3 linked regions of the Oryza sativa Japonica Group genome follow. The protein of the gene in region 1 interacts with the protein of each later gene in a pairwise test. Links are inferred from orthologs where the notes say so. Each region holds a gene or a part of one and is shown in the gene's direction. Other genes may lie near its edges.

Region 1 (10,698 bases):
CTACCCCGCCTCCGCGTGACTGCGAGGTGGGGCCCACCTAACCGTGGTCCCCTCACGTCAGCGTCGCGTGCGATCTGGGGGTGGACGGGGACGTGGTGCAGCACAAACGGGGGGCTCCTCCTCCTCGGGCGGGGGCGCACGGGTCACGTGGCGTCACGAGCCCCCCCTGAGTCGCCTTCCCGATCCCCCAGCGACACGCGCCGCGCACGTGCTCGCTCACGCGGAGGAGGAGGGGGGCCAGAGCCGAGGCTTCCCCGGCTGACGGCTGGAGCCGATCTGAGCTGAGCCGAGCCGGTGTGGGTTCACGTGAAGGCGGAGACGAGAGGGGTCGACTTGCGTAGCGGCCAGGATCTTCTGCGGTGATCAGGCAAAGGGAAAAAAAAGAAAGAAAAAGGAGGTGTATTTGTTTTAAGTGAAACCGAAAGAGCATATAGCCGTAGTTTGGTGATGTGTATACAGATGTAAAGTTAGAAGTTTAGTGTCGGCTGGAGCAAAGCCGTGAAGGTAAGAGAGAAGCGTATATGAGCATATGAGATTTTTTGTACGCTACCAACCACATTATGCTACTACTAGAAGATATGCTTTTCATACAGGGCAAATGTATTTTTTTTATAAAAAATTTTCTAACCACAACCGTCAGCCATGTCACATGTGATGTTTTATTATAAAGCTACTAATTCCTAGATTAATATTTTGGTAGTTCATCTAAAACTTGTCGAACAGGTGCCGATGAATTTTGAACACATATGTTGTGGATTATTTTTGTGATATTAGGTATTGTTTGATATTGACGACGCATATTTCTGCCTCTTACCATGAGTCGGTCGGCCTAGGTAACCGTCCCTAGTGGCCGGGTCTTGGCTTTGACACTAACACAACTAATGTTTTCGTTTCCTATACACATATAGTTTTTTAAGAACAAAATCTTGCTATTAACAGTTACCTTCCATGTGCATGAAGATTTGTGCCCCTTCTCACCTTCGTCGAGTTACCAAAATTTGGTTCCATGATAGTACCACGCCCAACTTCACTAGCAACCCTCGCCACCACCCCCTAGAGGCAGGGGAGGTTGAGGTGACGAGCACAAACGACTTAAACATGTGTAACAAGGGCATAACAATCTTATTGTCGCTAGTCTCCTATGAAAAGTATGAGGGCTAGAGAGAGGATTGGCAGTAACGAAGGAAGCCGATAGGACTCGTCGGTATATATGGTGGAGTTTGAAGGCATCGCACGAAATAGGGGAGGCAATGAAGGAAGAAGGGGGAAGCGGCAAGAGGGAGTATTATGGTTAGTCTGGGTCGACAAGCGATGCTTTATACAGTGAAGTGTCAAGATCCAAACCACTCAGCAGAGATCATGCTAGTGGAGGGGAAATACTTGATTCAAGTTTTTATCTTAGGTGTAGCACAAGACCCCCAACGTGTGTAAATCTTATTCGTCAAGGTATTGAGATTTCATTACACTATAGAATTATTGTAGGTTCCTTGATTAAATCCTTAGAGCAACACTAAGAGACTCACTAGATGGCTCTCCAAGCTAAATTTTAGCAAATATCAAAAAATCAACCTCCAAAATACTTGCCAACCAGTTGGCCAAATGCCTCCCTTTGATGTTCAAAATTGCCAGCCATAATCAATGGCCATTCATGGGTCCCATGCTGATCCTCTCTTTCTCTCTCCTTTATCACCTTTGCGAGAAGACGTGACTCACACGCACTTCCTCTAGCTCGCCTTGTCCCAGCGCCACCGTTGTTGTAGTCCATCATCATCGCTAACTCAAGCGCCACATCCCCCGGGCACCTAGTGCCACCTTACCCACCCTCCCCTAGCCCAAGTATGCCTTGCTCCAAACTACTACATCGTCATCTTCCGTCATCGTCCATTATCACCACCGACTTAAGGCGATGCCTCTCCTAGCCTCCTAGTGTGGCCTTCTTTCATAGTTTCCCACCCGTTGTTAAGAAGGACGGAGCGAGGTCAATAGGGCCGATGACGTCCTCCAAATCCCAAGCTCTACATCCCCGTCTCCTCCTTTGCAAGGCTGTCTATGTAGACGATGTCTTCTCATTGGTGATAGAAGGCTAGAAGTAGTCATTGGAGAGGGTAGATCGAGAAATGGCATGGAGGAGAACTAGGCAGAGGGGAAGTATGCGAGAGAGACTAACATGTGGGTCCCACTATCATAGTGGAAACTATAGATGGAGAGCTTGTTGGAGCACACATAAAATATGGAGAATTGAAGAGGGATCTTTTTGGCTAGCTAGCCAGCCAAATGGGCAAACAAAGAGCACAATTTGAAAAGAGAGTTTAGAGTTGTTCCTATAAATGCATTTCTCTCCAAGTTTACAATTGAGGGGGAAGAAACTCTAGTTTGGCTTGCTTATTCTACCTTTACAACCATGATTCAATTGCATCTTAATCAGATTTAATCTTAATAGCTAAAATTACTTGCATTGCTCAATCCTATTAATGTGTTAATTCATCTTTGTCCCTGCCCAAATAAATGTCACGAATGCCACATCCGTCGTGGTAAAAGAAAGCAATATGTCCCAAACAAATGTATACCAAAATGGCTTGGAGCGAGTTTCCCCCTTCCCCCAAAGCCCCAAACCGCTATTGAATGGCTTAGGCATACTATATCCGCCACATTGCCATATCCGGGAAAGTCCAAAAATATCTTACGAAGTACAAAATCTTTCTTATATCCATTAGTGCCAACCGAGCAAGAGGGTGGGGAAGGGCATAAGACCCCATGGTTTTGAAATTTAATAAATATCACAAATTCTACTTCCATTGGTGAAAGTAAGCAAGAGGTAAGCTATGGCTTGTAGCGAGCCGGTCCTCTATGCTCTATGAAGTGGTTTGGGTTATTAGGTATCCTACATCCATCAACACTTATAAACATAGGGAAGTTTAAATACAACCTTTTTATACACATTAGTGCCTAAGGGGAGGAAGAACTGAAGAAGGTAGACATGGATACGAAAACCCCTGGTTTTGAAATTTCATAAACTAAATTTATTTAAAACATTGTCATTTACCCACCAGTAAATTTTACAATTTCTAGCTCCTTCAATATTAACATAAGATTGAAGAATCCATCTAATTAGGATACAAATATTAATAAACCAAAGTCATTCTAGTAAAAAAAACTACATTATAAATCACTTATCTCCTCTTGTGGCTTAACCTGATTAACAAATAGACCAATCCCTCCTCAACCTCCGTCTCCTCGAATGATCAAAGAGCACGTGGCCACTATATGAGCAAACCAATTGTCCTGAGCTGACAAGAGTCCAAGGCTTGAATTGAGCTAGTTTCTCCACCCCCACGAGCCACGGATCCATCGGCTCAGGTTCCAGTCCCACCGGGGGTAGAGAAAGCAAGGCACCCTCTTCGTCCTCCTCTCACACCTTCCCTCTTCACACATCACGCGTTGTCTCCTCCTCCCCTTCCCCTTCCTCAAAATCTCCTCAACACGCCGCCTTAGCCTCAGCCCCAGCTCCTCAGCCCTGCGCATGCTTCGATCTTGGTGAATTCAGGGAGCTCGTGAGGTTACAATTAAGGGGAATAAACACTAGTTTGGCTTGCTCATTCAACACTTTGCAGCAGGGTCCAATTGCATCTAAATTATCTGCAGTGGTCAATTCTACTCATTAATTCATTTATGTCCCTGCCTGAATGAATATCACAAATACCATATCCATCGGTGAAAGAAAACATGCGGACCCAAACAAATATAAACAATGGCTTGAAGCGAGCCGGCTCTCCCATACGCCACAAAGCGGCTCGATATCCTATATCTGCAACATCGCTACTTTTAGGAATGTTCGTAAATATCTTATACATGCTAGTGCCAATGGGAGTATGATGGTGTGTTGGAATAGGGGAACCAGCCCCATGATTTTGAAATTCAACAGACTAAATTTGTTGAAACTCATGAGATATAAATGTTACCATTTCTAGCTCCTCAATTATTAACAAGCGAATAAAGAATCCATTAATAATAATAATAATAACCATATTATAAATCAATTATCCCCTATTTTAACTTAACCCGATTAACAAATCAACCCATATGCTTCCCACTCTCCATCGACTCGACTTGAATGCTCGTAGAGCACGCAACCACACTGTGTATGAACAAACCACCAGCGCGCAAAGCCGAGAAGAGCCCATGGGTCGGCGATCGAGCCGGCTCCCCCGCCCCTAACGAGCCGCGGACCGGCTCGGCTCGGCTCGGCTCGGGATCCAATCCCACCGGTGTAGAAAAGGCAAAGGCACCCTCGTTCTCCTTTCACACCTCTCCCCCCCTCTTCTTCTCTCTCTCCACATCACAAGTCGCCTTCCTCCTCCGCCCCCGAAATCCCCTCGCGAACCAGAGAAACCTGAGGCACCACCATCACCACCACCGCCTCCGCCTCCGCCTCCGCCTCCTGCGCGCGCGGCGAATTCGGGGGACCCTCGCGCTCGCGTGGGGTGTGGGTGGGGGGAGATCCGGGCGTCGCCGTCGCCGGGGGGGGGGGAGGGTGCTCGGATTCAGCCAGCGGCGGGTGGGGGGGCCCGCCTCTTTCTTCTTGGGGGGGCGCGGAGGAGACCCCGCCCGTCCTGGATTCCGTGGCCGCGGCGCCGATTCGGGCGCGGGAGCCCCAGCACGGTGAGATTTTCCCCCGCTGCCTTGCTGCACTGTGAGAATTGCCGTATCTATACTGTACTAGTTTGTTGTTGTTGTTGTTGTTGATGATGTGGCTGCTCGCTGTTGCGGAAACAGTGGAATGGATGGGGGTTTGGGATGGTTGGGGTTTGACGAGCTGGGCGGGTTGAGGCGGGAGGAGGGTTTGCTTAGGGTGGAATCTGATTGGCCGCGATCGGCACGGGTGTTTTGGCTGTATCCTATAGCGTGAAAAAGATAGGAAAATTACTGGTTGTATCACTTTTTGCTGGGTCAGGTTTGGATAGAATTCAATCGTGTTTTCCCTCCATGTCTTTTATCCGTTGAAATGGTGCCATATGAAATGTCAGGATTAGTTATAAATTCTGGTTGCACACTTTGTGGACGATTTCTGTTATTTGAGTGGGTTATTTAGCGATTATGTGTCCGCGAATATAATCTGTACTGACGTAAGAGCAGTGAATTTTTTTTATCACTCATCACAGTGTGTTTTTAGCTGGATGATAACTGAGAGTTTTGTTCCTGTTATTCTGAGTTCAGCACCCGATTATTCATAAGTCCAAATGATATTTTGTTGCTTGTGTATTTGTCTAAAACTGTGCTTGTGGCGTCCAGCCAGTCAATTCTTGTGAGTATTACGCATTTTTAGTGCTATATTTGGCCTGATATATATACTATCTTGAGTAGGTATTATGGTGATGAAGATGGAGGCTGATGAGGATGGTGCCAATGGCGGAACTGGTGGGACATGGACTGACGAGGACCGAGCGCTCACCGCCAGTGTGCTTGGAACGGATGCTTTTGCTTACTTGACAAAAGGAGGTGGTGCCATATCCGAGGGCCTTGTTGCTGCATCTTTGCCAGTGGACTTGCAAAATAGACTCCAGGAGCTTGTCGAATCAGATCGTCCTGGTGCTGGTTGGAACTATGCCATATTCTGGCAGCTGTCGCGCACAAAGTCCGGTGACCTTGTCCTTGGATGGGGGGATGGCTCTTGCCGTGAGCCTCATGATGGTGAGATGGGACCTGCTGCTTCTGCAGGTAGTGACGAGGCCAAACAGAGGATGCGCAAGCGTGTGCTGCAGCGATTGCACTCAGCATTCGGAGGTGTTGACGAGGAGGATTATGCCCCAGGCATTGATCAGGTGACAGACACAGAGATGTTTTTTCTAGCATCTATGTACTTTGCATTTCCACGCCGTGCTGGTGGCCCTGGTCAAGTATTTGCAGCAGGCGTGCCCCTGTGGATTCCCAACACTGAACGTAACGTATTTCCTGCCAATTACTGTTACCGGGGATACCTTGCAAATGCTGCAGGATTTAGAACTATTGTGCTAGTTCCATTTGAGACCGGTGTACTTGAACTGGGTTCGATGCAACAGGTAGCGGAGAGTTCTGACACTCTCCAGACCATAAGATCTGTGTTTGCTGGGGCAATTGGCAATAAAGCTGGAGTTCAGAGACACGAGGGGAGTGGCCCTACAGATAAGTCACCAGGTTTGGCAAAGATTTTTGGGAAGGACCTTAACCTTGGCCGGCCTTCAGCAGGCCCAGGAACTGGCGTGTCAGAGGCAGATGAAAGGTCGTGGGAACAAAGGACTGGTGGTGGGAGCTCATTGCTCCCCAATGTCCAAAGAGGTTTGCAGAATTTCACTTGGAGTCAGGCTCGGGGCCTGAATTCTCATCAGCAGAAGTTTGGCAACGGTATATTGATTGTGAGCAATGAAGCCACACCGCGCAACAATGGAGGAGTTGACAGCTCTACTGCAACACAGTTTCAGCTTCAGAAAGCACCACCACTTCAGAAACTACCACAGCTCCAGAAATCACATCAGCTAGTAAAGCCACAGCAACTAGTGAGTCAGCAACAGTTGCAGCCTCAAGCTCCCAGGCAAATAGATTTCAGTGCTGGGACCAGTTCCAAACCTGGTGTTTTGACTAAAAAACCAGCTGGTATTGATGGGGATGGTGCAGAGGTGGATGGCTTGTGTAAAGACGAAGGTCCGCCACCTGCATTAGAAGACCGGCGGCCTAGAAAGAGGGGAAGAAAGCCTGCAAACGGGAGGGAAGAGCCACTAAATCATGTTGAGGCCGAGCGCCAGAGGAGGGAGAAGCTCAACCAGCGATTCTATGCACTGAGAGCCGTTGTACCCAATATATCAAAAATGGACAAGGCATCCCTCCTTGGTGACGCCATAACATACATCACTGACCTACAGAAGAAGCTCAAAGAGATGGAGGTAGAGCGAGAAAGGCTTATCGAGTCTGGAATGATCGATCCGAGGGATCGGACGCCTCGACCTGAGGTGGACATTCAGGTGGTTCAGGATGAGGTTCTAGTCCGAGTGATGAGCCCCATGGAAAGCCACCCTGTCAGGGCCATCTTCCAAGCTTTCGAAGAGGCAGAAGTCCATGCAGGGGAGTCGAAGATCACAAGCAACAACGGCACGGCCGTGCATTCTTTCATCATCAAGTGCCCTGGCGCCGAACAGCAAACGAGGGAGAAGGTGATTGCCGCCATGTCTCGCGTGATGAACTCAGGGTAGAATCAGTTGGGGAGTGGGCGCCACCGGTAGAGGCAGCTTTACTTCGTTCGCTGGTTGCAGACAAGCAGCAAGCAGTCGGTTGGACGGACACCCATCCACCCACCTTTCAGCGCTGTTGATAGAAGAAGTTTGTAGGCAGAGAAAGAAAGCTCAGATTCTGACTTAGCGATCCAAGGGGAAGACAAAGCTCTCAAGTTAAAACTGCCATTGTTGTATGGTAGGCTTTTGTGGTCGGTGTAGTTTTTCTCTTTTTGTTGTTTATTGGGGAGAATACCATGTTCTTAGTTTATTGCTTGTGGCAGAACCATAAACAGTACATCTCGTCAAATGCATGAGTTGGGAAAGAAGTCACCTGCTTTTCTGCTAATTCTGTGTTTTTGTTTGTATCTCAAGTGAGTTGGTGTTTATACTTCGGCATGTTACTCGGGGAAGCTGGGCTACATGGGCCAGTAGGCACATCTGTGATCTGTGTTCTTTCAATCTAGTGACCTTTTGGGGAGGTGACTCTCATCCATTTCCATATCAGGTTTTTGTCGGTTCTTATTTTCTTAGTGTGTGTGAGAGGAATGAAAACGAGAAAATTGAAAAGACACGTAAGAGGTGAGATATTAGTCATTATTAATTAAGTATTAATTATTTTAAATTTTAAACATATATTAACATGATTTTTAAGTAGTTTTATAGTTTTTTTTAAAGAGATAATCCATAAAATGCCATTGACAAGCGTCTAAGTCCCAGAAATACCATCGACAAGTGTGAGTTCCAAGAAATGCCATCGTACAAACGATTTTATCCCAAAAATGCTATCGCCGTTAGGGTTCCGTTCATTTCACGCCGTTAAGTTCTATAGGATGAACAGTGTGTTTAACGGCACGGAATGGACGGAATCCTAACGGCGATAGCATTTTTGGGACAAAATCGTTTGTACGATGGCATTTCTTGGAACTCACATTTGTCAATGGCATTTCTAGGACTTAGACGCTTGTCAATGGCATTTCATGGATTATCTCTTTTTTAAATACACTGTTGATCAGTTTGGAAAGCGGTATATGCAATAAATGAGGGAGTTTTTTTTCCTTTTAACGTGGGCGAGATATCAATAGAAACTGTCTACGTAACATAGCACAAGAAACAGATATAATTGAGTAATGCTCCTATTAAATTTAACTCTGGACCATGTTTTTAGAAAGCCATTTTGCACACTTTTATTGATATGAAAACACAGAACGTTCAGTAAAATAAGGGGCTCATCAATACAAGAACTCTTCAAATCAAATTAGATGTATGTTTAGATAGAACATGTGCCAAAAAATTTGGCTTCCCGGCGAAGCGCTCAACAGAGACTTGCAAAATCACGTCAAAATATTGCATTCATATAAATTTGTTGACGAAAAGCCGCATTGTTTCCACCACTTGGAAGTGTGGCTGCGTTCTTTCAAGGGAGAGATAGGGAAGATTGTGACTCGTTTTCCACGCGCATGCTTTTCAAATTACTCCCTCCGTCCCAGTATGTAACAAGTTTTAAGCTCGTGGACAAGTATTAAATTTTAAACTGGTAGGCGGCAAAAGCACATACGGCAATACAAACTAGTACTCTATTCTTTTCTTCTCTTTCACTGATAACTATGCTGAGGGGTAGAATTGGTAGATTTCTGGTAAAAGTTGTACTAGGTTGTAACATTTGGGACAAATTTTGAATGCCAAAACTTGTTACATATTGGGACGGAGGGAGTACTAAACAGTGTGTTTTCTGCAAAAAATTTCTATAAGAAAGTTGTTTTAAAATATCATATTGATCCATTTTTAAAATTTAAAATAGTTAATACTTAATTAATCATATGCTAATGGCTCACCTCGTTTTACGTATTTTCTCAATCTTCTCTTTTCCTCTCCTTCCTTGAGGGCGTAGGCTTATCTCCCCATCAACAACATGGGGTAAGTACCTGAAAGAACCAATTACAAAATTTCCTTGCGCATCTCGTATGCTCTGGCTCCTCTGTACTCGAAAGAATGTCAAAAACAAAGCATCTACATTTACCTTGAGAGTTTCTTCCTGTAGGAGGTGGTTTATGCCATCCTTCATGTGGTTTTGTATCTGTTTTTTGCTTGCCATTTTATAATTTAGTGCAAGAGTAATAATAGATATAGCTGATCTAGTAGCCATTTGAATCATTTCAACATTCACCATTTGCCTCCTTTCCCACCAAATATACCGTATTCCCCTATCGAAACAATTTCAGCAAATTTCAAATCATTGAGGTGTGGTTACCTCCTCTCATGATTGTCTTCTAGTAAAACGATTGTCTTCTAGTAAAACAAAACCCGATTGATCAATATTGGCAATATTCTCAATTTTGTTTCAAATTCACATATTTATCCACACTTCTATATAGCTCTATCACATTGAAAATAATATGTTTAATATCCTCACATATACGGTCCAATCGTTTGGTTTATTCATCATCATGAAATAAACCAAACAACATATTTGCAAAGAAAAAATAATTTGTAAATTTTATGATCGTTAATAGAATATTATAAAATAAGTTAGCGAGAATGTGTATTATGAGAGACGGAGTAACAAATTAAGTTAATATGCAAGGACGAGCCGGGGGAGTATGTAATACTAGTATTATCACCATCAGTCATCAACCATTCTTACTCTTTCGTTAGATATGATAAGGTTGGAAGGTTCATTTTGCCTCTAATATAGTCTGTATTAATGAAACTAATCACTAGATTAAGTCTACTAAGTGATTATTAGACTAAACAACATCTTCTGGTGGCTTGGTGCTTACGCCACACGGAAGCTTATTAGTAGCTACTCCCTCCGTCCCAATATGTAACAAGTTTTGGCATTCAAAATTTGTCCCAAATGTTACAACCTAGTACAACTTTTACCAGAAATCTATCGATTCTACCCCTCAGCATAGTTATCAGTGAAAAAGAAGAAAAGAATAGAGTACTAGTTTGTATTGCCGTATGTGCTTTTGCCGCCTACCAGTTTAAAATTTAATTTGCGTGTGAGTGGGTTTTTACTGTGTTTAACCAGCTTTCTGGCGCCAATGTGTTTGAAATGCACGTGTGAGTTTGATGGCAGCAAACAGACCGCCACCACTGAGTTTTAGTACAGGAATAATCATTGAGGGTAGTATGGTCTTTTTGCACCTTTTCTTAATACTTGTGAACAAGCTTAAACCCCCGCCTCGTTTCTGGAAGATTCTCTCCTCCCCCGCTCTCTCAGAAACAACTCAAATCACGATTCGCTCCTGCAACGCTGCACGCGCGCGGCACGAGGAGTAGGATGCCGGCGGCGGCGGCGGCGGAGGGGAAGGCGGCGCGCGCCCGATCGACGGCGGCGACAGCGGACGCCGCGGCCGACGACGTCCTGTACGTCTTCGCTCTCCTTCGTCGACGTCGTCGTCTTCTCTGTCTATGAGAATCTAGTTCTCGCGGTTTGATCGGCATATCCACAGGA
Region 2 (10,698 bases), on another chromosome or scaffold:
CCTACACCTTGCTGCGAAAATTACTAAGCAATTTTTCCGACAATCAAGCTAGAGGGAAAAAAATAATAAAACATCAAGATTTACCAGTACTTATCATGAAACAAACAAATAATACTCGTGTTTTAATGTGAAACATATTGATAAGTATATGTTAAATATTATAAAAGTGATAGATAAAATTGTTAAAATATTGTGCAAATAATGTGAGGGATGATGATTGGATATACTTGCATGTTGATTTGTAGAATTAAATAAATTGTAGATGATGTTGTATGCTTGCATGGGTTAAATATGTAATTATTGCTAGTGGATGATGATGTGGCATGATTGCGTGTTGAGCTTTAAACTTAATGGGCTATAACTTTATAGAAAGTATAGATATGCAACCAACACATTTGTCATATTTACTAAATCAATAATAATATCCCATGCAACGCCCTCGCTAACCATCAACTTGTGTGATCACTTAGTAGGAGACCACTCTAATTAAGATACTATCTCTTTTCAAATTATAATTATGTCAATTTGACTTTGGTCAAAGTCAAATAACTTTAAGTTTAATTAAATTTATAAAAAATATAGTAATATTTGCAACATTAAATTTGGAACCGGTAACTCAACACATTTTCATAATATATTTGTCTTCGGTTGAAAATGTTACTATTTTTTTCTATAAATTTAGTTAAACTTAAAGTAGTCTAACTTTAATCAAAGTTAAAATACTTTATAATTTAACACAGGAGATACATAGTAGGAGTATATTCAATGGATTAATTAATATTTCTTCTTAACTGAGCGAGATCAGCATGGGCCACCTCCAACCTCCCCTGAAAACACATGATATACGGTTTTGGTACAATGAGAAGTGGTTGGTACCCGAATCACCTTTTGCTTGTCCAGTTTTGCCTACTCGATCCCCTCTCATATGCAATTTTTAGCACGCGAAGACAAAGTGTGTGTTTGGACTAGCAGCAGACGAGAGAAAATTAAAGCGTACGTGCCAGTTGTGTTGGTCGACCATGCGTATCATCGATCGGGTCGTTTTCTCGTGGCTCTGCTGTCTGAGATCTCTCATGCATACACATCCGATCGATATATCCATGCTCTCACGTTCCGACCTTATCTCACCTCACGATTAGTGGGGCGAAGCCATAATTTATACTAGCTGAAACCCTAACCCCGCGCATTGTAGCGGGATATTTTCTTGAGATTGGTGGCTGCATTTGGTAAATTGAAGTGGTACAAAAATCCATCACTATTGAATTGGTCCACGATAAAATTAGATGGGCCTCCCGTGGTGACGGTGTGAGATGGATTCGGCTGTGTTTTTTTCATCCAACGGTTCAAAGATGATCGAATCTACTGATCCAACAACTGAGAATTAATGATGATGTGACACATTGAGGTTTGAGCTTTAGGATCTTAATTGCACTTAGTGGGTTATAATTTTATAGTAAGAAGGGATAAGAGTAGAGGTAAACTAGTATATGTTTTTGTTTTTCTCTAAAAAAAATTTGAAGAGTAATCTCGATGGATATTTGAGCGTAGGAGTAGGGCTAGAGATAGTGGTATTTGAACCTACTGAAGATGATGAAGATAAAGATAAGTGTTTCACGTAAAATGATGTGGTAATAACGTGTGATTAATTGAGTTTTAATTATTACAAACTTAAAAAATAGATTAATCTAATATTTTAAAGCAACTTCCATATGAAAAGTTTTCGCACGAAACACACAGTTTAGCAGTTTGAAAAGCGTGTCACAAGTATCCAAAATTTCATCAACTTCTATATCTGCATATGTGTGATGTCACCCTCGGTTGTCCACCCATGCATATGATGCTTGATTGTCGATTGCATGCACGCAAGGGAGCTACCATATCTGATCGCAGCATGTCCAGCGACAAGTTAGAGTTTATTTACTCAATCTAATCTTAATTTCTTAATCTAAATATAATCACCTTAATTTCTTATGCGGAAATAAATTGATTCATTGACCTTGATGTGAAGCCATTTAAGCCGATGATCTAATCCTTTTATTTTTCTTCTTCTTCTCTTTTCTTTTTCTTCTTGCGACATACATCACGAATCCTTTCCAGTGATAAAATTGATCGGGCGATTGAATTAGGGCTTTAGGGTAGAGAGGATTCGGTGAAGTCGCCTTTGCCTCTTCTCCTCTTCCTAGACATAAGGACATTAGTGGGGTCCGGGGGTTTATTTCCAAATAAATTTAAATCTATTTTGTACGATCACACATAACAGATTTTATCTCTACTTTATTTCTTGTTAGGAAAATAAAACCGATGGAATTTAATTCTTTTCCTAACTAACCAATAATGAATTGATAAAATCAACCAACATGGCCATCAGGACGAATCAATTGACCAAATCCTAATAGCCTTCCCTGAGTCGCTTCAGTTCTAGTGATTGATCCTCAACACTATTGGGCAACCTTATTTCCTGGTTACGACGAGTTTTTCAATAGTTTGGAGGTGTGGCCGTAGAAATTAAATCAACAAGCATCGACACCATTATTGTTTTGATAGCATGGTCGATTTGTAATTAAAGAACACAATAATATATAGGAGTCTTCAATCACTAATAATGCTTTTGTCCAAAGTGGTGACTGGTGAGCACGACAGTTTAAGCTGTTTGGGTGGGAGGGCCTTTCACAGAAATATAAGTCCCTCCATTAGTTTCTCTAAAAAGAACATAAGTTTCTCTAGAAGGACATGTATTCCTATCCCTCCATAGGGATTTATATTTCCGTAAGAGGACTAATAGAGCATAAGAGCTAGGCTGCACGGGGGTCCTCAGCTACCCGCGGCTAGCTAGCACACATAATGGTTGATAGTCGGTCGCAAATCAATACCACAAGACATAGGCCTTGTATCCCTTTTCGATTCTTTTCTTTATTATTGTAACTTGTTGTACAACTTATACATATATTCTCTAAAATATTTGTTGTTAAATGGCTAAATAACCGAATGATTTATGATAATTAAACTGAGTGGGCAAACAAACGAATAAATATATTATATTTTTTATCTATCTATACCTAATTAAAAAATCTATAAAGCTTCCGGTAATACTTTTTTGTCCGTCTTTTTTTCTCTTTTCTTGGCTGTTTTTTCTATCTTTTTTTTTCTTTTCTTGCTGTTTTTATTTTCTGATCCTTTTTTGTCCGTATTTTTCTCCTCTTTATTTTTTTCTAGTTTTTCCCGCAGCAGTTTTTCTGCCGCCGCCTCGATCTATCTTCTTGTACCTTTTGTCCTCTTATTGATTGTAAAAATAGATCCCTACTCATTTCTTATTATTTTAATTTCCTTATGATTTTCCCTTACAATTTGGCTTTAATTCACCGGATCTAATCTCCAGCCGCCGCCTGGGCTGAACCCTAACTGCGCCATCACATCGATCTACCTCCCCTTACGTTTTCTCCTTTAATTAATTGCAAAAATTGATTCCCCATCCTTCCCTCATAGTTTCCCCCATGATTTTCCCTTTCAATTCGGTTTTAATTAATTCGTTGGATTCAATCTTCGTTTAACTGTCACCAATAATGACCGACCGACGAGCTTCCCCATTCCATTTTTATCCAGAGTTTTACAGATTTGCTCTGTTTTTGGGAAACAGAAAGAGGAGATCGAGTGAATCAAAATCCCTTGGCCAGGGAGATCAAAAAAGAATCAGCTGGATTTTTATGGGAGGGCACACAAGGATTCTCTCCCGAAGGTTCAAGACGGTATACTGAATGACATTGCCAGCTGTGATAACTAAGTATTTGTGGACTGGACGAAAGAGAGGCAAGCCGAGCAGGAAGAGATAGGAGACATCAGACTGTGCTAGGGCTAAAAAGGAAAAAAAAGTAATGAGCTTTCGGCTCAAAACGAAGAAAAAATTTTGATTAACATGTTTTCAATTATAGTGTATAGCAATTATAATGTTTCAAGCTATTGCTCAGTTCATAATAGAGTTGTTATACCACTAAGAAAAATGTATTTACCTGTTGCAACGTATTGATATTTTTTTCAAGTTAATCATAAAAATACATTAGCGTTTGTAAGCTTTCTAAAAACGTGCGGGTTAATCCATCGTTTTCATTGGTTAGAAAAAACGAATGGGCGCGGGGCCTCTTTTTTTTATACCCCGCGCGCACCTCCCAACCCAACAAACACCACATTTTGCAGCTGCTTCTAATCTATACGTGTTCTAGCTAAGCTAGCTAGCTAGCTCTCGTTCTCCGGCCATGTCGACGAGGGCGCCCGTCGAGCTCGACTTCCTCGGCCTCCGCGCCGCCGCCGCCGACGCCGACGACCGCCACGCCAAGAGCGGCGGCTCCTCCGCCTCCTCTTCCTCCTCCATCCGAGGTACGTGACGTGACGTCTGTCGACGTCGCCGTCGATCGATGATCTCATCTCACCGCCGCCGGCTAGCTCCGTGTCCCTCTCGATCGATCTGAGTCGATTGCTTGCGTTGCGAGAGCAGGGATGGAGACGAGCGCGATAGCGAGGATAGGGCCCCACCTGCTGCGCCGCGTCATCGCCGCCGCCGGACCTCCGCCACCGCCGTCGACGGCGCCGGTGCCGGAGGAGATGCCCGGCGCCGCCGCCGCCGCCGCTCCGATGACGCTCTTCTACAACGGTTCAGTCGCCGTCTTCGACGTCTCCCACGATAAGGTGTGTAATATACATGAGTAAATTATATTGGTAGTATATAAACTTGTTAGCTGGATGCAACTTAGTGAATAAACTTGTAAAATGCTTATTTCGATGCATGAACTTGTCTAGTTCGTGCGAACGAGGACTAAAATAGCTTGGCAATGTTCGTTTTATAAAGCTGATGTTGATTAGGATGTGACGTGCATATGTGTAGTGAGTATATATAAGATATGCAATATTTATAAATTTCGTCTCTACTTTATTCTTCATCATGGAAGTGATGAATTTCATATATTTCTAACCCTTATATCATTGCTTTTTTTAATCTTTTTTCTACAATCACTATATCCATTCTATTTTTTACTAAAGAGGTGTATTTCTAATAGCAAATCTTCACGTATATATGTTTACATGGTATCCTAATGAGCCCCTAAATTAATAAGATTAACCAGGTAGTGTCCTTTTTCCTTCCTCCGCACGCACCAGACAAGTTTATGCACCAAAACGAGCATTTTACAAGTTCGTGCACTAGATTGCACTCACCTGACAAGTTCATGTACCGGCGATGCAATTTACTTAATATATATTTATCGTCTAAGTTAATTAATCACAAATTATTAGGAGATTATCCGCGATTAGTTAGTTGTTAACACAGTAATATTATATTAATACTGTCGTCGGAGATAGAACGGCCAGCGAACCGGGGCACCTGTTGAACACTTGTACCTTCACCTTCACAGAACGCGTGTGATTACAAAACTAACGAAACTCGGCGCGTTACTGCTGCGAGAATTATGTATAAAAATATTATAAATAATACCCCTTTTGTTTTTTATTATATGTGATATGCTGTTGACTTTTCATTGATCATTCATCTTATTAAAAAAATTTATGTAATTATCATTTATTTTATTCTGATTTGATATATCATCAAATATTCTTTAAACATGATTTAAATATTTTTTATATTTACATAAAAATTTTGAATAAAACGAATGGTCAAATATTTGTAAAAATTCAATGGCGTCATATATTAAAAAATATTAAAAAATGGAAGTAGTATGTAAGATAGCTGGATGATTATTTACTTTATATAATTTTCATCTTTGATTGATCAATAAAAAATTATAAACAATTAAGATGATATGGTTTATAACAATTTAAAACATTCAAAAAAAATGAAACTAAGGTGATGTGACTTAATAGCAAAACAAAATAAAGGGGGATAATATAGATTAATTACCCAAAGACAAAACTACGATGATATGACCTTTCCTAGGAGAAGAAAAGTCTGTCCATTAAAAATCATACAGCGTTAACATAGAATTAATTTACAATCAAAATCATGGTGTAGGATCGAACTGCACCAAGTCTAAATTAAAAGAGTTCTTGTTTTTCATGCATGATGGCTGGAAGGGATGCGCACAATGATATACTATCTCCCTTAAATTAGCTTGATAGTGGTAGATAGTACAATTTCATAGAGATACAATCTTCTCAATGCTTTCCCTTTCCATATTCCATCCCTAGGCAGAGGCTATAATGAGGATGGCAACCGAGGCAACTAAAGCAAAAGGACTCGCTCGTGGCAATGCAATTGTAGGCAATTTTGCCAAAGGTTTGTTAATGTTAGTAGAATTGTTGCGAAAAGTAATCAGCAGAACAACAAAAATATGTTCTTTTTTAATCTGTTTTTTTTCCTGTGGCTTATAGTATTGTTCTTCAACTCTTCTTGTTTGCAGAGCCACTCACAAGAACTAAATCTCTGCAACGATTCCTCTCCAAGAGAAAAGAGAGGTATAGACAATGCAATTTTCATATATTTTGTTTGTCACCTAAATACACATTTTTTCCTACTCCCTGCGTTTCAAATTAATTATTATTCTAGTTTTATCATAAGTTAAGCATTTGTATTTTTTACCACCAATTTCCAGAAGTTTATATAATTTAACATCATAAGATTTATGTTTTGTATTCACTATGAGAAAACTTTCACAATATATAATCACATGTTTTTGCATTATTCAAATTTTTAGATATCAACGAACAAAATAGAAATATTTGACTTAGGACAAAATGAATGTGAAGTAATTAATTTGAAAAGAAAAGGAGTATGTATAAGTACATAGAAATAATGATTTGATCAAACCTTTTCAAAAAGAACTCAATTACACTTAAATAAAAGAGTATTAACATTTTCATTATTTCTCTCTCTAATTGGAATCTTCAGTGTGAGACTAGCTATCTACCTATAGTTGTATACTGTGGAAGCTCATGGTAGCTAAAGCTACCACATGGTGAGCTGACCGGAGACCCCAGAAGCCGTGTGGGCCCGGATGAGCAGTGCCCATCGACCTCTTACAACCACGTTTTAGTCGTGACGAATTAGTGCATGGAAAGTCTATGGGCTATGGATCATATCGACATGTGTGTGGAGGATAGCAAGTTTGCATATGCAATATCTCGATCGATTTGGTGATGATATATATATCGCAATGAAATCGATATATGGGGGCTGTACTACTTCATTGACCAACTAGCTACCGAATCAAATTAAGACTTATCGCAGCTAAAGAAGCAATAAACTAACTGAAAGCAAAGATATGTCTTTGACCACACCACACGCACATATCATTAAGGCTTTGATTTGATTGTGCTTTAAAAGATCGGTTTGGTTCTGGTTGTGTGTTGGCTAAGGTGGTGTTTGGATACAGGACTTAACTTTAGTCTCTATATCTAGACACTAATTTAAAGTATTAAATATAGACTACTTATAAAACTAATTACATAAATGAAAGCTAATTTGCGAGACAAGTTTTTTAAGCCTAATTAATCCATAATTAGAAAATATTTACGGTAGCATCACATAGACTAATCATGGATTAATTAGGCTCAATAGATTCGTCTCGTGAATTAGTCCAAGATTATAGATGGGTTTTATTAATAGTCTACATTTAATATTTATAATTAGTGTCCAAATATCCGATGTAATAGGAACTTAAAAGTTTTAGTCCCATCTAAACATGGTCTAATTCGTTTGTCCCAGACTTGAAAAATGTGGCACTGATTTCTCTTCCTTTCAAATATATATATATATATATATATATATATATATATATATATATATATATATATATATATATATATATATATATATATATATATATATATATATATATATATATATATATATATATATATATATATATATATATATATATATATATATATATATATATATATATATATATATAACCATTAACTTTTAAACATAACATTTAACCATTCTTTTTATTAAAAAAATTAGTGTAAATACGATGAAAAATAGGTAGCCTTTAAATTATCTTCAACAACAAAATTAAGCCGCAACAAAATAATATGATACCTATACAGCATTTTAAATAATACAAATGATCGATCCAAAAGGGATCGAATAAGTGATACTTAGATAGTTTTTCAAATAAGACACATGATCAATTCGAAAGTTAACATCATCATATATTTAAAAATTTAAAAATTGAAGTTAGCCAAACAAACAGGTGTAGTAGGGTAGTGTAGTAAATTGTTGGCTAATTACCATCCTGCTCAACGACGTTGCCAGTGTCACTTTCCATCCTTTTGGGGTAGCTAGGTGTTGACCTAGTTAATACTCCAATAATCACCACCAAACCTAGCTACTTTGTTACCCACTTTAACTAACGAATATATATATATATTTTGCATTGCCTTTTTCTTTTCTTTTTTTTCATTACTAATTGATATTGAAACGTGCAGGTTGACCAGCTTGGGTCCGTACCAGGTGGGTGGGCCCGCTGCCGTCGGTGCGACGACGTCGACCACCACCAAGTCTTTTCTTGCGAAGGAAGAGGAGCACACGGCGTCCTAGCTAGCCTCCTAGCTAGCTAATTACTGTTGATTTGGTCCCCTTGATTAATCGTTTATTATTAATAATTATTTCATTGATTCCATCATTAGTAGAGGGTACAGACCAGGCAGGGGCCAGTTAATAATCCTGTTTAGTGTTGATCGATCGATAGATTAACCATACTCCATATGTAGGTCTGTGTGTAATATTGATTTATATATATAGTAGTATCTATAGTTGATTACAAGGTCATGGATTTTATGGATGTGTAAAGCAAGCTTAGAGTGAATATTGGATGCATTTATGATTTATACTATGTAGTTGTACAAATTACTCCATCCATGTGCCTGAGTTATTTTGTTTTTTTAGACTGAACATGTGCTGGGAACGAACACCCATATTATTTCGCTTATGATATGCTTATCTGTAAGGTTTATTAGTAAATAAAAATAATTCATGAGTATTCAAAAGTAAATTAACTCTAAAATTAAAATTTAAAATTCAAATTAACTCTAAAATTAAATTTTAAAATTCAAATTTTGACTTAGATAAGCATAAGCAAAACAATAAGGCTGGAAAATTTATGGTCATTATATCAGACTCTCCACTCTCATTAATGGTAGATACAACATTAGATTTTCGAAATGTTTTTGAAATACAAATAATCAGAGGATGTTTGGTAACAACGTGGAGTATCAGGTGAAACAATGTGCACTAATCTTATGGATCACGGCTATGAATTCAACTCCGTTCTATAGTGCCGATGGATGACGGATAAAAAGTTGAGTTTATAACAATTACTCGAGGACAGAAACGGTGATAGTCGACTTTTAAAAGAAGTTCACTTAAAAAAACATGTTGATGAAGAAAGTTTTTATAAAAAGATTATACCACTTTGGAGTTTGAGGAAATATGCTTACGATAATCCTTCAAGTAGTCGACCTCAACCTTACCATTACAATTAGAAGTATTCCAAGCTAACCTTTGACTGCAAGCGTCCAATTAAACCTCACAAATTTGCAAACACGTTTTTCTTTTTTTGGGTGTGTGTGGTTGTTGCTGTGGCTGATGCAGTCAAATTGTGAAACGATTGGAGCAGAGAACATCCAAAAGAAAAAAAAGAGCTTGTGGACAAATCTTCAAGTCGACCAAAAACACAGCTAGGAGAAGTTGGGCAATTTTTCTCGTCCTTTTGCTCACTAATCACTATCGCGTGAGCAGTCAGCCTCACGATCAAATTTGAAAACGTGGTAAAAATCCACTAATTAATCCAGGTTGCTTGGGTTGGTTTTGTTGGACGAGTCTTGGTTTGAGGCAAGCTGCCTTGCAAAAGTAGAAAAAAAGGGGTCAAAAGGGAGCAAAAGAGAGAACTGAAATGGGGAAAAAAAAAGGTGAGTCTGGAATGCAGCTCACCACCTGTAAATTAATAGGCATGGTTATGAATTTTAACCATATAGATTATTAAGCATACATTAAGCATGATGGAATTGGTGTTACCATAAAGGCATTGACAAGGAACTAGAGTAGTGAACCTTCCATATTGCACAATTGCACTAGATTTGTTCTTCACCAATCTGCAGAGCCGTAGACGTTTCCACGGTTCTTTTCGTTTTCCATAAACACCAACCATTGCAACCATCAAAAGTGGAAGGTAGAGTGTACAAGCATCATTGGTTTGTTTGGTGAAAGAAGTTAAAAATTGATAAATTAACTTGAAATAAGTGGAGACTGCACATGCAATACCGTTCCAGAGAAACAAGAGTCCACAAGAAAAAAAGGGGCAATGCAGATATGCTGTGTTCTAAGAATGATTTTACTATATCAGTAAATGTTGTAATTGTGACGATGATTTTGGGCAACTTTAATGAGCACCAATTGGTTGCATATTTGAAGAAAGTGTCATCGAATGCAAGGGCATCGATTGGTGGTAACCAATGCTGAAAAGCGTTTGAAGAACTTTCATAATTTAGTAGCATTTTGAAAAGTTTGAAAATAAGGCTCGTCTTCCTTAATTCACAATGCAATTGCTATTGATTATAATGCTTGTAGAAATGTTAATGGAACACATTTCTTTAAATTCTAGGGAACCAAAAAGAGCCTTAGAAGAAAGTATGCCACAAAAAAAAAAAAACCTGAAGCTCTGTCAAGCTGGACTGATGCCGTACACTTGGGCC
Region 3 (10,698 bases), on another chromosome or scaffold:
ATGCTGCATGCATGTCGTACTGAACTACTGATGAGTGATGACTTATATTCTTAAATTTTAAGTAATGCAGTGACCAGTGACTGATTAGTGATGGATGTATCTTGGATTATTTTGTTGGATGTGTTATATTAAGCAAAATTATATTATTGATGTGTTTTGGTTGGTTTTTCCTAGAGAGCTGAGATCATGTTTAGATGTTATTTTGCCATCGTATTGCGGCTAATTGTATTGGCGTCCTCTTGTTGTATGGATTGAATACAAACTTGACATCCGATAACTTTTTGTTCGTTTCCGAACCAAGTCCGCACCGACTCCGCACCAAATCCGACGTCCGAAATAATCCGCTCCGCATCCGCATCCGCATGTCATCCGCACCCGCTCCGCATCCGTTTAAAGAAAATGGTTTAGGATATGGTATAGCTATTATTCGTCCGAATCCGATCCGTTTTCACCCCTAAACTGAAGTGAGCGTAGCTCAACTGGTTAGGTTCCTTGTGGTGGAACCAGCCCACCCGGGTCCAAATCCTAGATTTGGCATGGGTGTTCGCATTTACAGCTAATTATTCTTTCAGTGCTAGGCGACGTACCCGTCAACAGCGAGGCAGTGATGACTTCGTCAATCTCAAGTCATACCGGCCCAGTTTTCCGGAGGTGCTCATCACAGGGGTGAGTGTGCGCGTGTTGTGAGAGCGTCTGCGTTTGTACTACTTCGTCAATCTCAAGACATGCCGGTCCAGTTTTTCGGAGGTGCTAATCACAGGGGTGAGTGTGCGCGCGTTGTGAGCGTCTACGTTTGTACTATGTTTCTATAAAAAAAGAGGTCAAAAAAATTTCATAAAACTAATGTAGAAGACAAGGAACATGGTATGACCGTTGTGCTCTTGGCTAAAGTAGATCCCTCGCTACCTTCTCTTCTAATTTTTGAACGAATCACTGCCTTCTCTCTTCAAGAGCCCTAGATGGCTAGATCCTCAAATTCCCGCATCCTTTCCTCCAAATCGGGAGCAAAACTATTCAAAATTGGGCCCAGACTCTAGTGAAATAGGAGGAGATCGATGGCAAAGGAGGAATGGTGGCTTGGGTGGTAACGGCAGACGCAGAGGCGGGGAGCTGCTTCGGCGGCAGCAGCATGTGGTAGTGGTAGCAGCAGCAGCAACACAGGGCACTGTGGTAGGGAGCAACAGCACAACTTGCGGCGGTAGCAGCAGCAGCGCTTGTGGCAGCAAGGGCAGTAGCAAGAGCAGCAACCACGCCGCAGAGTAGACAGCACAGCAACAGCGGGATATAGGGGTATCCACATCCTAATTTTCGTGAAAGCTCATCTTCTAACAGTGTTAGTTTAAGCTGGGAGTTTAATGGTAAGTGTTTTGGGTTTCAACGTCCGAAATATGCAATTGTGTTTTTTAAGACGGCAAATCTATAATATCGGGTCCACATCGATTCGTGCTAAGTCTAGAATGCACCCACGTCATCCCCGCGTGGGCAGCTCGGGCGACCGAACCCTAACCGCCGCTGCCCAAACCTCCCCCTCGCCTTGCTGCCACTAGAGGGAGCCACTGAGAACCAGGCAATGACCTAGGACGGCAGCGGCGGGGCTTAAAACCAGGTCCCGCGCGCTGGATCTGATGCGGCAGTGAGGACAGCAGAGCGGCGGCTGTCGGGGAGGGCGGCAGTCAAGGAGGCGCGGCGACGGGGAGTCGACAACCCCTCTTCTGCATAGGAGCCTAGGCCAGCGCGACGAGGAGGCGACAAGTCGGAAGGTAGCCGACGGCGGTACGGATCTGGCCGTGGCTGCAGTGTGCAAGGATGGAGGTCGTCGTGGCCATGGCGTGCCCAGGGGTCTCTTTCAGTGGCCGACCATGGCGGGGGCAGCTCGCAGCGGCGCTACTAGTGTCCCTAGGCCCATGGGATCATTTGTAATACATGGAAAGGGGTAGTAGTCAAGGAAGCCTATCTCGTATCTGTACATGAATGGTATGCACCCGGATTATAAGGGATACCATATCACACATGCCGCCAAATCCCCCCAGCACTATATAAGGGGCGCCGACATGAACCATAAGGGGTTACGCTTTCTTTCACACACATCGGACACAGATCTAATCCACATACAACTGGACTAGGGTATTACCTTGCATTGAGAGCCTAAACTAGTATAAACATCTGTGCCACCATCTCTCCTTGATTTAGAGCACCCTATAAATTATATTGTCGTTCATAAAAATCGATAGATTCCCATAAAAAGATTTAGGGGATTGAATTTTGACACTCTGCTGGTGATGCTTTTATGCACAACATCAATAGATGTATTATGGTTACAAGTGGTTTTAAAAAACAACGGCAACCATATGGTTAAAATACCTTAAAAGTTTTATAAGGCAGGTCATTCGCATAGAGAAAATGTACTCAAGCTCCCATAATATTATTCTTTTTTTATATATAGAAAAAAAGGTACTCCTTCGCAAGGGTATGAACATATGAGTTGAGCCAACAACGAGGATGAAACCATGCCTTCGTAACGGTGCGCGTACCTTGTAGAGGGCACGGTAGCCTCACTCTACCATAGGGACCGCGAAGAGAAATGAGAACCCATCCCCACAGCCATGCACATGACTCGGCACCAGGACACCATTACAATGATGCAAAGAAGGAGTTGGTGGCTGACATAAAGAGGGAAATGCTGGCGTCAAGCTTGGACTGCTCCGACGAGATCTGAGAACCTCAAGGCCAGATCCGATGGCATGTGATGGAGACGGCAACGGGGGCAGCAACCAGAGCGGAGGAGGAAGTGGTGATGGCGAGTTCACAGTGATGAGGATGGCTAGCTTGAAGCACCAATGAGGACTGGGAGATCGAAGTGGAGATTTGGATGGCGAGCTTGAAGCACCGAAGCCAAAGAAGGTGGGAGCCTCCTTGACTGGCGCTCGTCGATCCCGGAGCTCGGTGGTAGAGAAAGAAGGGGTGCCCTTGACTGCCGACGTAGCCTCGTTGACTTGTCCAAAGTGGTGGAAGGAGAAGGGATTAGGAGCAGCAGCTTCCACCACCAATGAAAACATCAGCTTGCCGCCTCGATTTGTGTTATCACTGAGGAGAGGGAGGACATGGGAGGAAAGGGCAACGAGAAGGGAGCAACGATGAGGAGGGAGGGAATGTGGTAGATAGGAGAGGATGACGAGCTTAGAGAGAGGAAAAAAGAGTATGAGAGTGGTTGACAACGTGGTCCATAGGAAGCCAAGGATACATATATATTTTTTATGTTGTCATAGGTCAGAAATATAAATTTTTTTAATATATTTGATAATAAGAAATATTCTTAGGGACTTAAACATAAAAACATCTGAGTTGGCCTGAGTCCACATGGGACGTTGAGGATACTAATGTAAATAGCTTTGCGTCGTGTATGTCTCTATAAGACGGTGATGTATACAAATCATATGCTCTCTCTAGAGTAGCAAACAAGTACTACTTATATACCATTTCTTCCGTGTTAAAATATAGTTATATAATAATATAGATTTTGATAAAGTTTTGTCCAGATTCATAGTATTATGCAATAATATAGCCCTTTGGATCTATTTAAATTCGTAATATAAGGATATGATGTGTCTAAGGGTGTCTTTGGTTTCTAGCTATACTTTGCCGCCATTTGTCAACACATATTACCACACTTGCCTAAGTTGAGACGATCAAATTCTTGGCCACACCTTAGCAGGCCTAAGGGAATCTTGCCACACTTTTTTGAGTCAAAGACGTGTGGAGTCCAATTTGTTGGAAAAGAATCTTGACACAATTGTGCCTACAACCAAACAATTGCCAATATGGTCCAGCCCGGCTAACATTGGGCGTAACAAACTATGGCAAAGTGTTGCTGGTAACCAAACACCCCCCTCCCCCTCCCTAAATTGTACTCCCTCCATCCTAATATAAGTGCAATCTAGTATATGACATATTCTAATAATACGAATTTAGACAGCCCTTTCGTCCTAATATGAGTGCAACCTAGTACAAATATGACATATATTAGGATTACGAATCTGTGCAGACAATTGTTCAGATTCGTAGTATTAGGATATACCATATATGTACTAGGTTGCACTTATATTGGGTCGGAGAGAGTAAGTGCTAGTATTCCATTCATTTCATAATATAAGGCACAACTATTTTTTAGATGTTTCATAATATAAGGCATGCATGAATGCATGCCATTAACTAGCACATCTTTCGCACTATGATTTTTTTTTAAATCCTCCATCCTCAAAATCTTTAATCCTAGAGAGAATCTATTCTATACAATTGAGTTTGTTCGAGTTCAACGATTTACCATCGACATTGTCGATTTATATTATATACCAACGACTTTATCAATCGTTCATCAATACGCCATTGGGATATGTCTTCTTTTCAAAAGTACCCAAATTCCTCTTATGGACATATAAGATTAACAATTGATTTATCTCATTAGGAGTTTAAAAAATATAAAAAATTTTATGTGACCTCCTTGCATAACATGGAAATTTGTATAGAAGTTTCGAGTTTTTATATTTCTATTTTTTAAAAAATATAACTTATCTATTATATGCTATATAAAATACTTTTTATTGTTGTTTTAATATAAATCATCTTTCATACAATGCATAAGATATTTTTATGATATTATCTCTTGCGTAAGCAAATTCTCTATCATATACCACATAAAAATATTTTTTCTAAAATCTAAATATACCATAAAAAAATTTCAAACTTGTATACAAACTTCCATATTGTGTAAGGAGGCCACTACAAAGTTTTCATATTTTTTTAAAACTTTAGATGAGATAAATCAATTGTTAATCTTGTATGTTCGTAAGGGTATTTTGGATATATTTGAAAAGAAGGCCCAACCCAATGACATATTGTAGAAGAATTGATAAAGTTACTGGTATATTATAAAAAGAGATAATGTCGATGGCAAATCGTTGAACTCGAACAAACTTAATGGTATAGAATATATTCTCTTTTAATTCTATTGGTGCATACATTATAGTTATTTGGATGATCTAAACTATGAGATGATAATAGAGTCTTATATTCTTATATTTTAGAATGGAGACAGTATCTTGAGATGAGGAAGGAAGTACTACTCCATCCAAAAGAACGAATTCATAGCTACGAACCTGAACACATATATATATCCAGATTGGTAGGTAGGATTGGTTTTTTCTGGTACGGAAGGTTATGCATTTTAGGACGAAGGGCCCCACTCCTTTGTCGGCCACGTTGCATCCAATCAAACCTAACGTCACGGCATACCACACCGGCACACAGTAAACACAAACCAGGAAAAAGATAACGAGAGAATAGGAATCTGCGCACCTTGCCAATCTCCACAACAATCACGTGCTCAAACAAAGGCACCAACACCCAAACTAACTTTTTTTTTTCCCTCGCAACTTGCGATTACAAAAATCGAAACTTTTTCGTCTTAAAGATAATCCCCACCATTATTGTTATTGTTAGTCTCGTGCGTCCCTTATATAGAACCTGAACCGCCGGACGGAGGAGGAAGACAACTCAGAGACAGACAAGGACGAGCAACCCGCAACCGCGACCAGAGGAGAAGACTCGATCGAATCGAATCGAAGCGGGAGGATTTCGGGGGTCCGTGACTCCGTTCGGAGAAAAGGATTCAGCTTGTGGGCAGAAGAAGAAGAAGAAGATGGCTTCCGCGAAATCCGGGGAGAGGGGGAGCAGCAGCTTCGCCATGGCCTGCAGCCTGCTCAGCCGCTACGTCAGGCAGAACGGCGCAGCCGCCGGCGAGCTCGGCCTCGGCATCAGAGGTCACCTCCCTTTCTTTTTCTTTTTTTCCTTCTGCAAAGTCTGGATCTTTATCTTTACGGGTTTTGGGTGAAAAAAACCTCCCCTAGGAAGGTTTCCGTGAGATCTGGTCTAGTTCTTCGAGCTTTGGAAGCGAGAATTCCCCCATGTAGAATTTTATTCGGCTTAAACCAGTCTCAACCATTCCAATTCTGCGCATCTAGCTAGCTGTAAAATTCGCAACATTTTTTTTAAATCTGATGTTGTGAATCTGGGCTGAAAAACTATGTCATATCATTTTTCAGGTGAAGCCGATGCGAACAAGGGGAAGGAGACCATGGAGCTGTTCCCCCAGAATTCCGGGTTCGGCTCTGAAGCTGCTGCCGTGAAGGAGACCCCGGATGCGAGGTACTCAACACAATCTTTGTTCGAATTGCTTCAGCTATCAGTTCATACGGTTCCTTTAGCTGTAGTCACATGATAGGAGAAACCAATAGCAACAATCCAACCAAACAAAGTAGTGGTTGGTAGGTAGTGTGGAGGAGGAGGAGAACATCTTGCCTTGTCCTGACCAGATCTTAGTGCTGCCAGGAGCTGAGCTGGTCAGCTCTCGGGTCATGGTCTGAAATCTAATTCGTGTGTAAAATGGATATAATTTAGTTTAGAGTTCTAGGGATGGATTTCGGTGTGATGGAAAGGTTCGATATTTAATCCAATATAGAACTGGTGCTATGCAAGTCTGCAGTTCCTTCTTCTGTTTTTTGTGCGAGTCGTTTTTTGTGCGAGTCAACGATGTATGTCTCGCAACTAATAACCACGGGTTTCAGACTTAGTGGGCTCGCACGATCCGAAAGTGAAAATGTTCTGACTCGAGTGATTCATGAACAAAAAACCCAAATATTAGTTGGTACTTACTACAAGTTATTCTTCTGAACATATGCGTAGATGGCGGGTGCTTGCTGACCGATATCAGTTAGTAAATAGTTTCTGTTGTGTAAGCTTTAAAATTGGTTAAATGGTTGTGTTTGTCTAAGCTTTCTTGTATTTCCGTTGTCAGGGAGCAAGAGAAGCGCCAATTAACCATCTTCTACGGTGGGAAGGTCCTGGTGTTTGATGACTTCCCAGCTGAGAAGGCCAAGGACCTGATGCAGATGGCCAGCAAGAGTTCCTCCACAGCGCAGAACTGTGTCCTTCTTCCATCTTCCGCTACTGCAACCGTTGCCGACAACACTAAGGTGTCTGCTGTACCAGCCCCAGCAAGTGCACTTCCTGTTGCTCAGGCCAATGCCCCGAAACCTGTTCGTCCAAATGCTGCTGGTAACTACTCTAACCTCGGCTGTTATTGCTTGCTCTGAATGATGGAATATACTTGTAGCATGTGAATCCATTTTATTGTACTAACTGTTCTTCAAATCCTGCAGATCTGCCTCAGGCTAGGAAGGCGTCGCTTCACCGGTTCCTCGAGAAAAGAAAGGATCGGTAGGTTATGCTTGCTATCATGGCAGCACAAAGTATAGTCAAATTCTACAATTCACAATTCTAGATTTTGGATCTAACTTTTGCTGCTCCTTTATTTCAGCCTTCAGGCTAAAGCACCCTACCAGGGTTCCCCTTCAGATGCTTCTCCGGTCAAGAAGGAGCTGCAGGAGAGTCAGCCATGGCTTGGGTTAGGACCTCAGGTTGCCGCTCCCGACCTGAGCTTGCGGCAGGAATCGAGCCAATGAATCAATGCTCAATTCTGAGATGCCCCTCTCATCAGATGATTCAGTCATAGAGGTTATCACAACTCTTGAATTGGGTGTTTTGTGTTAGGAGATGATCCGATGACAAGGCGATGTTCTTCTGATATATATACTAGGATTGAATGTAAAGAAAGTAGCTGATGATTATGACCAGTAATCTGAATCAAATTGCTATGATAGAAAGCAGAAGATTCTGTAATCAGTACAACCCAAGAAACCTCATTTGTACCAATTCAATATCGTTTTGCTTTGGCATTGCCATGTAGAAGCAAAGCAAATGTACTGCTAATATATACACATCACAAGATTGATTGTTATTCACTTACGCCTGTTTCCCCCCCCCCCCCCCATTAACAGGATGCATCTCCTTTTGCTGTTTCCAACATGCATTCTTGTATGAATTTTGAAGCTCTATTCAGAAACTAGAATGTTATTTGGACATGCTGAGTAGTACTAGTGTACCATGATTTGCAAGCCTTTGCTTGGCCTCAGAGGTTAGAAGACAGACAGCTCAGAGAGAGAGAGAGAGAGAGAGAGAGAGAGAATTGTGGCTCTTGGCTCTTGCACGACCTGAAAACTTGATGGAGACGAGGCACGCACACACACACACTTGTGCATACTCCGTCCAACACAGGAAGAAAACGTGTTTTGACTCAGAGGCAGCATCTGCCACTTGCACAAATGAATAGAGAAAAAAAAAAGATAAAGATAAAGATAAAAGAAAAGGAGAAGAAAGTGATGTATAACGCGGCAACGGCAGGGCGTCCGGGGAACACGCAAAAATGCGCACGTCGCTCTCCGGCTACATTCAGCAGCAGCCCATGGTCGGAATTTTTTAAAAATTATTTTTTTGGGATGAAATGACTCTCCATTTTTTTTTCTCCAAGGGAAAAGAGAAAAAAAAATAAAATCATTTTGGTGACATTGAAGAAAAACTGCATGTTCTGCGCATTTTAAAACCGGGACCAAACCGGGTTCTGCCGGACAAACAGTGGACGATCCACGTACATTAGAGTAAAGCTCACGTTCGGAAATGAAGAATAGTAGTATTTTAACATGGCTCTTGCCTGAGACTACGGTTGCCTGAGACTACGGGTGTGTTTAGTTAACGCCAAAATTAAAAAGTTTGGTTGAAATTGGAACGATCTGACGGAAAAGTTAAAAGTTTGTATGTGTAGGAAAGTCTTGATGTGATGAAAAAGTTGAAAGTTTGAAGAAAAATTTTGAAACTAAAATCGGTCTACAGATGCATGGTGGCCGGCAGGAAAGCAGTTTGTCATCCAATATAATGCGAGCCCATTTGCTCGTGCCCACTTCCAGCAACTTTATTCATTTCGCGTAACGTGCATGACCACTCTGCCAATTGCCATGCCAGCCTATGATAATTCATGGGTCAATTGCATATTTGCCACTGGATTGAACAGGTATTGTGGATCTACCACTAAAAAAACTGTAATTGCAAATTTGCCATTAAAAACAGTTTGAACCCAACATAACTGCCACTGGACTCACAGCTTAGACTAACACCGTTATATGGCTGGTTTTCATGAAAATTAGGACAAGAATGCCCCTGCCCATGAAATTGTAATATTGACAGCATTTTGGCATCAATAAAACACCATTTGAGACAACAAGCAAGAGAACATAGTCAACTAGCGTCATTCTGGCATGAACACGGTAACATAATCAAACTAAATGACAATAGTTGAGGTTCACATCATATGATTCATCCTCACATCCAAAAGACAACTACATCTGACTAATTCAACCAACACAGTTAGAGGTTTACATCATATGATTCATCCTCACATCCAAAAGACAACTACATCTGATAGTAGTGTTCTACATCATATCAATTTGATAGGACAACATGGTCCAGACCATTAGAACCTTCCCAAAAGACAACCGCATCAAATGGATGCCGCAACAGAACCTTTCTTCTCCTTCCCCTTCCCTCTTGCTCTTGGTGGTCTTGTTGACACATCATTTGCATTGCCACTGCAACAACAATTCTATAAGTCAGTACCTAAATCTGAATACAAGATGCAAATAGATTGCAAATGAGGATGGAATTAACTAGTAAGAAATACTAATTACATGGATGATCCAGTAGTATTTTTTTTGTTTGACCTAGGTGTTGCACCAGGAGTATTGCTTCCTTGATCTGAGGATGGTGTTGATGAAGATGACCTTTTCCTGTATAAAATCTGGAGTGAGCAGCCAATTTACAAATGAAAGGAAAAAAAAAAGATGACAAGTACCTTTTGCTAGCTATAGGTCCTCCCTGACATGTCTTTGCAAAGTGGCCTTTGTCACCACATTCAGGGCATGTCCTCTTCTTTCTACAGCCAGACTCATCTGAAGCTTTAATCCTGTGTGTCCTAGGCCTTCCAGGCTTTCTCCTCAACTTTGGCCTCATCAATTTGAAACCAGGATCTACAAATGTCCACATATTCTTTGATGTCATTGGGTTCCATATCCCAGCATATGTTTGCCTCAATCTTTGCACTGAATAGCACTCATCCACATAGCCATTCATGTCAGGAAACCTTAGAGAGCCTATGAATGCCAATGCATGGTTACAAGGTTTCCCACTTACTTGCCAGGCTCTACAAGAGCATGTATGAGCCTTTAGGTTCACTGCATGCCTCCATACCACTCCCTTATTGGACACCACAGAAACTTCAGCTAAATCATCGCAATTACTCCTTACCACATTGTAATCTTTTAGATTCTTGCTCTGTTCATTCAGTGTCTTAATAATAGATGGAATTATTCTTCCTTCCATTTTGCTTGCAAGTTGGCTCCTCAAGTGAAATTTGTCAATTATCATTTGCCTAAGTGTGTCAAATAAGTCCACTATGTGTAATTCCTTGATCTTCATCACCCAATTGTTGAATGACTCAGAAAGATTGTTGTTGATGTAGTCCACCTTTGAAAGCTCTGAGAATTTGCTCCTACTCCAAAAAAATGGGTGATTGGTTTTTAAATATGCAATAGCTTCAGGAGATTTCTCAGCAATCTTGTTCATGTGATAGTTGTACTGCTGGCTGGTGTAGCACTTAGCAGCAGGCCACATGTTTTCACCAAAAAGTGGTCCATGGTACTGCTTCTTGAAGTTCTTCCACAGGTGTCGCATGCACTCTCGGTGCTCAGCAGTTGG

What was found.
Region 2: the proteins of transcription factor MTB1 (region 1) and protein TIFY 9 interact in binary tests that used the Arabidopsis thaliana proteins (3 or more experiments, as listed by UniProt). The link is inferred for Oryza sativa Japonica Group from reciprocal best matches to the Arabidopsis thaliana genes AT1G01260 and JAZ10.
Region 3: the proteins of transcription factor MTB1 (region 1) and protein TIFY 10a interact in binary tests that used the Arabidopsis thaliana proteins (3 or more experiments, as listed by UniProt). The link is inferred for Oryza sativa Japonica Group from reciprocal best matches to the Arabidopsis thaliana genes AT1G01260 and TIFY10B.

The regions. Positions count from the first base shown.
Region 1 is NC_089035.1:7,503,096-7,513,793, reverse strand, and holds transcription factor MTB1, read left to right. Parts: upstream 1-4,333; 5' UTR 4,334-4,659; intron 4,660-5,361; 5' UTR 5,362-5,366; coding exon 5,367-7,220; 3' UTR 7,221-7,587; downstream 7,588-10,698.
Region 2 is NC_089038.1:19,856,033-19,866,730, forward strand, and holds protein TIFY 9, read left to right. Parts: upstream 1-4,201; 5' UTR 4,202-4,247; coding exon 4,248-4,368; intron 4,369-4,486; coding exon 4,487-4,677; intron 4,678-6,189; coding exon 6,190-6,277; intron 6,278-6,401; coding exon 6,402-6,456; intron 6,457-8,433; coding exon 8,434-8,545; 3' UTR 8,546-8,851; downstream 8,852-10,698. UniProt on the Arabidopsis thaliana protein: Repressor of jasmonate (JA) responses. Interacts with and suppresses RHD6 and RSL1 transcription factor activities to negatively regulate jasmonate-stimulated root hair development.
Region 3 is NC_089037.1:16,851,090-16,861,787, reverse strand, and holds protein TIFY 10a, read left to right. Parts: upstream 1-5,469; 5' UTR 5,470-5,695; coding exon 5,696-5,816; intron 5,817-6,098; coding exon 6,099-6,201; intron 6,202-6,850; coding exon 6,851-7,110; intron 7,111-7,214; coding exon 7,215-7,272; intron 7,273-7,372; coding exon 7,373-7,517; 3' UTR 7,518-7,880; downstream 7,881-10,698. Other genes in the region: uncharacterized protein, read right to left, coding at 9,446-9,533, 9,633-9,731, 9,797-10,698. UniProt on the Arabidopsis thaliana protein: Repressor of jasmonate responses. Jasmonoyl-isoleucine (JA-Ile) specifically promotes COI1-TIFY10B/JAZ2 interaction. Activated by MYC2, MYC3 and MYC4 transcription factors.